2 linked regions of the Macaca mulatta genome follow. The main gene of each other region encodes a partner of the protein of the gene in region 2 in a complex. Links are inferred from orthologs where the notes say so. Each region holds a gene or a part of one and is shown on either strand. Other genes may lie near its edges. The genes, in order: CST3 and CTSK.

Evidence for each region.
Region 1: the proteins of CTSK (region 2) and CST3 are in contact, whole or in part, in a crystal structure (PDB 8V57), measured with the Mus musculus proteins. The link is inferred for Macaca mulatta from reciprocal best matches to the Homo sapiens genes CTSK and CST3. Residues at the interface, in NP_031828.2 of Mus musculus: Asn132, Gln133, Gly134, Gln135, Cys136, Gly137, Cys139, Trp140, Glu173, Asn174, Tyr175, Cys177, Gly178, Gly179, Gly180, Tyr181, Met182, Ser248, Ala251, Ser252, Gln257, Phe258, Val274, Asn275, His276, Ala277, Ser297, Trp298, Ser301, Trp302; in NP_034106.2 of Mus musculus: Pro27, Arg28, Met29, Leu30, Gly31, Ala32, Pro33, Gln75, Leu76, Val77, Ala78, Val80, Asn81, Tyr122, Pro125, Trp126, Lys127, Thr133.

The regions. Positions count from the first base shown.
Region 1 is NC_133415.1:60,396,792-60,401,237, reverse strand, and holds the start of CST3 (cystatin-C precursor), read right to left. Parts: upstream 2,975-4,446; 5' UTR 2,920-2,974; coding exon 2,677-2,919; intron 453-2,676; coding exon 339-452; intron 1-338. UniProt on the Homo sapiens protein: As an inhibitor of cysteine proteinases, this protein is thought to serve an important physiological role as a local regulator of this enzyme activity.
Region 2 is NC_133406.1:116,304,655-116,308,885, forward strand, and holds the start of CTSK (cathepsin K precursor), read left to right. Parts: upstream 1-1,208; 5' UTR 1,209-1,220; intron 1,221-1,983; exon of another isoform or gene 1,984-2,257; intron 2,258-2,578; 5' UTR 2,579-2,579; coding exon 2,580-2,699; intron 2,700-3,161; coding exon 3,162-3,284; intron 3,285-3,369; coding exon 3,370-3,525; intron 3,526-4,231. UniProt on the Homo sapiens protein: Thiol protease involved in osteoclastic bone resorption and may participate partially in the disorder of bone remodeling. Displays potent endoprotease activity against fibrinogen at acid pH. May play an important role in extracellular matrix degradation.

The sequences.
Region 1 (4,446 bases), on a different chromosome or scaffold from region 2:
CCCACATGCACACACACAGTGCAGGCACTTCCTCATACAGCATGTATGTGCACAGAACCCCCACACATATGTGCACACGCATGCGCACTCACACACCCACACACATCCGTGCATAGACCCCCACACCTCCCCAAAACATCACACACCCACTAGCACACACTCATATAACCTCCCCACACAAACCTATACATGGAAACACATGTGCATCTCCATATGTACACACACTCAGGCACACGCACACATACCCTCCAGAACATGTACATCACACACACACACACACACACACACACACCCCTCTGCAGTGTATGACTGGCCCTGGACCCACATGAGGCACATACCCTCTTCAGATGTGGCTGTTCATGGAAGGGGCAGTTGTCCAAGTTGGGCTGGGTCTTGGTACATGTGGTTCGGCCCAACTCCACGTCCAAGAAGTAGTTCACCCCAGCTACGATCTACACATGTGAAAGAGCAGGAGGCAGGGACAGCACGCTCTGTCAGTTTCTTACACACACAGGCACTTCACTGTGACTGGGTCACTGGGCTTGCCTGGGGCTTCAAGCCTACCTTCACGAGCTACCCACATTGTCACTTGCAAGGCACACAAGCCACCTCCTCCTGCCAGCTGGCAGGGATGCCATGCCCCAGGCCTCCCTGGTAACTTGTTTTCTCTATGCCAATGCCAAGGATTAACTGAATTCTGCTACCTATGACCCAGGGGGCAGGGACACTGGATCTATTCTAGGAAGGCTCTCATGTGATGATGAAATTTCGGCAAACTTCCAGTTCCTGGCATTCAGTCCACAGAGCATCTCATTCCTCTCATTTAACCCAGAGGTATTTTTCCTCATTTATCAATAGGAGATGAGATGCTCACATACATTGATGTTTTAGGCCAATAAACTGCTTCCCACATGCCTCCATTCCAGGTGTGATTTTGGAGGCAGTATTTCCAAAGTGAGTCTTACGGTTGCAACTTCAGAAGAGAACTGAATGCTTTCCCTGCACAGTGCCACCCCCAGACATGACTTGTGAGAACTGTGGAGAAGCATGGGATGAGGGACCCTGAGACCAGGGTGCTAGACCTTGCCCTGTGGAGCCACACACAAGTCCTGTAGAACCACATGCAAGTCCTGTGATCCCTCCGGTGTCAGTCTGCTGCTCTGTAAAATAGGTTCCAGGGTCCTACAATGCCCCGTGCTTCACTCCCAGTGAGAGAGGGGTGCAGGCCAGCGGGGACCCTACACCAGGGAACAGGGAGAGGACCCCAGCTGACGGCTGCAGGAGGAGAAACGGGGCTGGTCTAGACTCCTCTGAATTTCCAACAGAAGGTGGAGGAGCTCTAAAGTCTGTGTCACTGTTTGTTGCTCTGCCATGGGATGCAGGTCAAGCTGGACCTGGTAGCCCTACTGAAGCTCCCCCCCGGATCTGACCCCCTACTCCGCTCTGCTGGGTGACTGCTGTCCTCATCTGGCTGAGGTCTAACTCTGCATCAGCTGGTAGAAGCAGGGTCAGGCATGCTCCACCCCAGCAGGAATTCAGCTGCCCTGGGCTGTAGGGGGTGGTCATTCGGCCTGAGGGTGAAGGCCCCTAGTCCTAGAGGGCTGTGCCCAGGGGTGTGACTTGGGAAGGGAAGCAGGGCTCTGCAGGACAAGGAGCCAGGCTCAGGTGTGGCCCCTATGGAGAGGACTCCCGGAGGAAGACGAGCCTCATGGTCTGGATCTCATCCTGACCAGCACCAAGCCCACCCAGAGTCAGCACAGTCTCCACCCACACCTGCTGGATCCTGGGAAATGGCACGGTCTTGGTACAGACCCAGCGGCTGCTGCAGGTGAAAAGAGGCAGAGGGGACAGGACAGGGCTGAACTCATGTACTCCTGGCCCGGGAGCGTCCTAAGGCATGAAGCCCGTCAGCAGTCAGGGAAAGCTGAATGAGTCTGAGCATTAGACCATGAATGTGTCAGTGCTGATTTTCAAAATGGAATCGTGGTTATGTGAGATACTGCCCTTGTTTTAAGGAAAAACACACTGAAGTGTTTACTCTCAAAAGATTCAGGCAAAAAAATGCATATACAGTACATATACACACACCCATATTCACATTCGGAAAGTGAGCTGGGGGAACAAACGGCAAAATGTTAACATCCGTGCTAACATCTGAAGGATCTGGGTGAAAGATCTACAGGGATGCCCTGTACTATATCTGCAGCTGCTCTGTAAGTCAGAAATTATGTGAGAATAAAAAGTTAAACTAAAGTGTTTAAAAATTATTTGGCGGAAGAACAAGGAGGCAGCCAGATGACGGGCTCTGTTTTTTCCTTCTCCTGCGTATTCAGCAGCGCACCCGGAGCCCCGCGTCCCAGGAGGCCTGGACAGAGTTGGGTGGGACGTCCTGTGCCTGCCCCCGCGCTGCGGCGCCGCTCGAGCTGGCGCCTGGAAGCAGATCTCAGGCGCCGGGCGCGGACCTGGCTTGTCCTTGCGGTTCCAAGCCAGACCAGACTCGGGGCATTCCCAGACACGCCCGCCAAGGGCTCCAGGGTGACAGCGAAGACCGGGAACAGGGTCTGGGTGAGAAGCCCAGGTGCCGGGGAGAAGGAGCAGCGCGGGGTCCGGGAGCGGCGCGGGGCAGGCTGGGGCGGCGGGGCCAGGGTTCGGGACCCTGCGGGGGGCGGCACGCACCTGCTTGCGGGCGCGCACCACCTGCAGCGCGCGGCTGTGGTACATGTCGTTGCTGGCTTTGTTGTACTCGCTGACGGCAAAGTCCAGGGCACGCCGCACACCCTCCTCCTCCACGCTGGCGTCCATGGGGCCGCCCACTAGGCGCGGCGGCTTCCCGGGACTCGCTCCGGCCGCGGGGCTCACTGCCAGAGCCACGGCCAGGATGGCCAGCAGGAGCAGCGGGGCGCGCAGAGGCCCTGCCATTGTCGGCTAGGACGCGGGACACGGAGAGTGGGGCGCAGGCGAGAGGCTTGAGCTACTGACAGAGGACCCGGTGCGATCCCGAGGCCGTGAACACTGCGGGGCCAGCGGCTGCGCTTTTATCCCTTCTGGCCTTCCCCGCCCCTCGCGCCCTGCGCTTCCTTTTCCGGAACGCCTAGTCCCTCCCGCTTCCCCTCTCCCTTCCCACCTCCCCTACCTCTCCCCGCCTCCCGGTCCCTCCCTACCAATCTCCTCCCCTCCCTGCCTCCCCTGCCATCCTGGCCTCCCTGGCCCTCCCCATGGATCCCCTTCCCTCCCCATCCATCCCCTCTCCTCCCCTCCCAGCCCCTCCCGGCCTCCCCCCTCCCTTCCCGCCTCCCCCTCCCTTTCCCCCTCCCCTCTCCCTCCGCTCCTCCCCTGCCCCCTAGCCTCCCTGTCCCTCCCTATCCATCCCCTCCCCTCCCCTCTCCCTCTTCGCCTGCTCTCTTCCTCCCAGCCTCCCCTGCCCCTCCTATCCTCCCCATTCTTCCCCATCCATCCCAGACCATTCCAGCCTCCCCACTTCAGGCCCCTCCATGCTTCCCCTCTTCAGGCTCCTTCTCCTCTATCCGTTTCCCCTTTCAACCCCCAGACACCGCCTCCCCTGCCCCTCCTCTCCCTCCTCCACTCTTGTCCTTGCTCCCACTTCGCCCCCAAGCTCTGCCCTTCTTCATCGCCCCTCCCTTGTTCCACCCCTCCTCTGTCTTCCCTTCCTACCCACCCCTGGCCTCTCCCTGTCTCTGTCCCTCCTATCCTCTTCTTTCCCCTTTTCTAACTCCACTCCTGGTCCCTCTTCCCCCACCCCTTCTACACCCACGCCCCCCTCCTACCCACTCCATCCCTTCAGCTCCATCTCATCTCATAGACCTGTCCCTCCTCCCAAGCTTAGGTCACCCTGCCTTCCAGAGAGGTGTCAAGTCCCCCTGAGCCCTAAAAGCATGCGACCCCCTAGCTTCATTTCCTCAGAAAAGGGAAGGATAGAGGTCTTGGCCTTCCGGAGTCGTCGGAGGTCCCGAGTATCCGCGAGCATTTGGTCAAGGTCTAGAAATCACTGAGGCAGAGATGTGATTCCAGAGGCTGCAGAAGACTCAGGCCATGCCCTGTGCTAGGGGACTTTTCAAACAGAAGAATTAACCTTTATTTGAGTAAAAAACTCTGGGTTCTCCTTTCACAATTCCTTATTATTCAACAAACAGACTTGTCACCAGCTTCCCCCTGCACCAGGTGGTGTAGGAACTAGAGACGGAGCCTGGGTGACCGAGCCGTGGACACAACATTGCAGGGCTGCTGCCAGACAGAGATGTGACGCAAACCTGGGAGCAATTTAAAACTTTCTAGGAGACACATTTCAAAAAGTAAAAAAGAAACAGGTGAAGGTAATGTTTATAATATTTCTTACTTAACCCAATATATCCAAAATATTATTTCAACACATAAGAAGAATCATTAATAACATAGGTTATTTTATTTTGGGTGTGTATACTGAGTCTT
Region 2 (4,231 bases):
TAGTAGAGATGGGGTTTCACTATATGTTGGCCAGGCTAGTCTCGAACTCCTGACCTCAGGTGATCCACCTGCTTTGGCCTCTCAAAGGCCTGGGATTACAGGCGTGAACCACCGTACCTAGCCCACTAGCAGCTCTTAAAATCCAGAGGCATAAGCCTCTTGAGGGTTTATGCATTGAATCCAGCTAGAAACTGAGTCTATTACAGATCCCATTTATTATCCTTTCTATTCCAAGAAGCCTTTTTTCCTCCTTCCCCACATCTGTTTATGGAAGAAAATGAAGTTTGGGGTGTGGTTTGAGGACTCAGCGAGATTCTTATGATCTGTCACATGCCTGGATGTTGGGGAAGCATTTGGAGAAGCTCATGTGACTTGTCCTAGATTGGGGATTTTAATTGAGACAGATGATGTTTATCGGGCATCCCACCACCTGAGGGTTTTAGCAACAGAGTCACATGGGAGTCCATCAGAACTTATGGCACTGATTCAAGTGCTGTCATAGATAACCAGGACTGCTGTTTTTGGTTACTTTTAAAGACAGTTTCATCTGGACTTTCTGGGTATATCCTTCAGCAAAACCACATTAGGCTGGGAAAGCTATTCTCCTTCCTGGAAGTAATGACAACTTGCAACCAACAAGCTTACAAAAATACAAAGAATTCTGGAGCGTATGGCTTCCATTACATTATTCTTTTATAGCCTTTTATGTTCATTCCCGCATCCCAGAGGTGAGGGTCAGACACAAATTTGAAAATAGGTTTCAATGTTGGAGAGGTAAATCATAACAGGAAAGGGGTAGGAAAAGATGTAATCCCCCAGTGTTATAATAAAGATACTGAAGAAGAAGGATGGGAGAGACTAGGGCTGTGTCCTTCCTTTTACTCACCAAAAGAGAAGGTAAGCTCCTATTTGAGTCAATAGATACTGAGGTCTTGTTATTTGCCACCAAAGACAGTCTTGTGAGATTAAATACCTAGCAACTCCCTACCCTGGCACACATGCTGCACACATACACAAACACTACAAATCCACTGACTCCTTCCCTCCTCCCTACCCTTCCTTCTCTCAGCATTTCTATCCCCGCCTCCTCCTCTTACCCAAATTTTCCAGCCGACCACTGGAGCTGACTTCCGCAATCCTGATGGAATAAATCTGGCACCCCTGATGGTCTGCCCACACTTCGCTGCCGAAACGAAGCCTGACAACAGTTCCATCAGCAGGTAACATTTGCAACTTCCTAGATCTTTTAGCTTTTCATTCCTGTCAATTCTCTAAGAGTATTAGGGATGTAGTGACTTGAGAATCACAATGAACTTTTAGCCTTTGCAGATGAAAACTGAGATGCACTTCTTAGATCATTCCCTGGCTAAATAAAATCTGCCTGGAAGTCTGTAGAATTCCTTGTATGATTTATATATATATATACATGGTTGTAACTAAAAGCAAAGTATATAGGGAATCATTTGCCTATCCTTCAAGGGTAGCCTTTCTGCAGTGTTTTCTACTTTGGCCAACAAGGATCAAAAGGGTTAACTCCCTAGTGAGGAGGAGGAGGAGAGTGGTATGGGGAGGTGGTAGCTCAGTGCTTCCTGTTTGCTGAAACATCTCAAAGCCCTTAACACTCTAACTTTTAAGTGTCCTACTGGACATTTTGCCAGTTTGAAAAAATTACATGTAAATGGACTATAAGCAATTGTGTAAGCCATATGACATGCTGCAAGCTGCAAATTGTTCTTAAAATGGAGGAGTTGTAATTAAGCAAGCCAATGCAAGAAATGAGTGAAGCTAGCTAAACTTATGAAAAGCTGTGAATTTAATAATCATAGAACATTGCTTTTCAGTCTGAACATTCTTCTAACAAACCTTGGATCTGAGGCTCCTTGTCCTGTGCGGCAGCCACAGTGGTTTTTTGTTGTTAGGGGAAAAATAAAAAACCTTGCCCGCAGCATCTGGTTAAGATTAGGGCAGTTTCCTGCCTAAGGAGGGAGGGGAGAGCAAAAGGAGGAAGAAATGCATAAGGAGAATGAGGAGATAGAAAATGTCTCAGAAAACAGGAAACATTGTCATATTTTCCCTTGTCCTCTTCTGACAAGATCTGGGAAAGTACCAGAATTTAGGCAAGAAAGAGAAAAATGCCTCGAAGAAATGATCAGGAAGCAAAACTTAGATGGAAATCTCTCCTTTGTGTATTCTGAACCCCACTACCACCTTGCTCTTTATCTGTCTCCAAGCCTGCTGAGGACCCTGGAGGAAACAGGCACTGAGCCCATTCTGATTGTCCAGTTTCTATCCTATTTCTGGTTGTGTAAGTGTGTGTGTTTGTGTGAGAGAGAGAGAGAGAGACAGAGAGTGTGTGTGTGTGTTGGTTAAATCTCCCGAGAGAGAGAGAAATGGCTACATCTGCCTAGATCATAACTTGGAACCAGATGTACCAGCACCCTATCAAAACACAGGTCCCTCCTGACTATCATTGATTTATCACCCTTTCTCTGTCTACCTTCCTCTTCCTCATAAAGCCTAGTTTTCCTTGGTTTCCCTGCCAAATGGAAGAGTTTTCCCTAATTACATTCTTCTGCAGGATGTGGGGGCTCAAGGTTCTGCTGCTACCTGTGATGAGCTTTGCTCTGTACCCTGAGGAGATACTGGACACCCACTGGGAGTTATGGAAGAAGACCCACAGGAAGCAATACAACAGCAAGGTGCCTGGGGTCCTGAAGGGGGCATGGCAGGAGGGCTGAGACTTGAGCTCTCTCATCTTAGCTGCAGACTCCCTTCTTCAATCCAAATGCTTTATTCCTAGCAAATCAGTCCCTCTTTCCTAACTCACGTTAACATACGGTTTTCATTCCTATGCTTCAAATCATCCTCTGTCAAATTGTATCCTTCCTTTGCTTTATAAGTGTGTTACATTTCTCTTTTGGGAAGATTTCTAAGATTAATGCTATTCATCTATAAGCATTTTTTCTGTCTCTCCAGAGCTTTGTGTTGTATTTCTTTATGTATTATCTCTTCTTGCAGGCCTTAATAATTCCATGGTTAGTTCCCCAACTAAACTGTAAAGTTTTATGATTGTGAGTTTCCTTTATTCTCCTAAAACCCTTCACAATATGACATATGTAACTGTACACGGTCTATACAAGTACTGACTATGCTTTGTTTAGGTGGATGAAATCTCTCGGCGTTTAATTTGGGAAAAAAACCTGAAGTATATTTCCATCCATAACCTTGAGGCTTCTCTTGGTGTCCATACATATGAATTGGCTATGAACCACTTGGGGGACATGGTAAGTACAGCCTCAGCTCCTGTCCCACCTGCACCGTTTGCTTTAGTTCCCTGCTGATGCCTGGCCTCTTTCTTCTTTGTCTCAGACCAATGAAGAGGTGGTTCAGAAGATGACTGGACTCAAAGTACCCGCCTCTCATTCCCGCAGTAATGACACCCTTTATATCCCAGACTGGGAAGGTAGAGCCCCAGACTCTGTCGACTATCGAAAGAAAGGATATGTTACTCCTGTCAAAAATCAGGTACTCTCCTTTCTTCTGGGTGTGCATATGTAATCTGGCATGACCTTTTCCTTTTTCTGCTGCTTTGTTCTTGAGGTGAAAGGGCACCAGGAAGAGAGGGCAAGGGATTAAGGTACATCTCCCCATTCTGTTATTTAACCTCATTTGTTTCTGTACATTTGGGTTGTTTCTGGTTTTTCTTTTTCCTTTCCTTTTTTTTTTTTTTGAGATAGAGTGTCACTCTGTCGCCCAGGGTGGAGTGCAGTGGTGCAATCTTGGCTCACTGCAACCTACACCTCCCGGTTTCAAGCGATTCTCCTGCCTCAGCCTCCTGAGTAGCTGAGGTTACAGCACGCACCACTACGCCTGGCTAATTTTTCTATTTTTATAGAGATGGGATTTCACCTTGTTGGCCAGGCTGGTCTTGAACTCCTGACCTCAGGTGATCCACCTGCCTTGGCCTCCCAAAGTGCTGGGATTACAGTCGTGAGCCACCGCGGCCTGGTTTTTCTTTATTACAAATAGTGTTGCAATAAGCACCCTTGTGCATATATTTTTGTGCACATGTACAAATATTTATGCAAAACAAGTCCTAAAATTGGAATTGCTGGGTCACAGTCCTTTCTCCCCGCAAAAAATTATTATTATTGTTATTTTTTTTTTGAGACAGAGTCTCTGTCACCCAGGCTGGAGTCCAGTGGCGCAATCATGGCTCACTGCAGCCTCA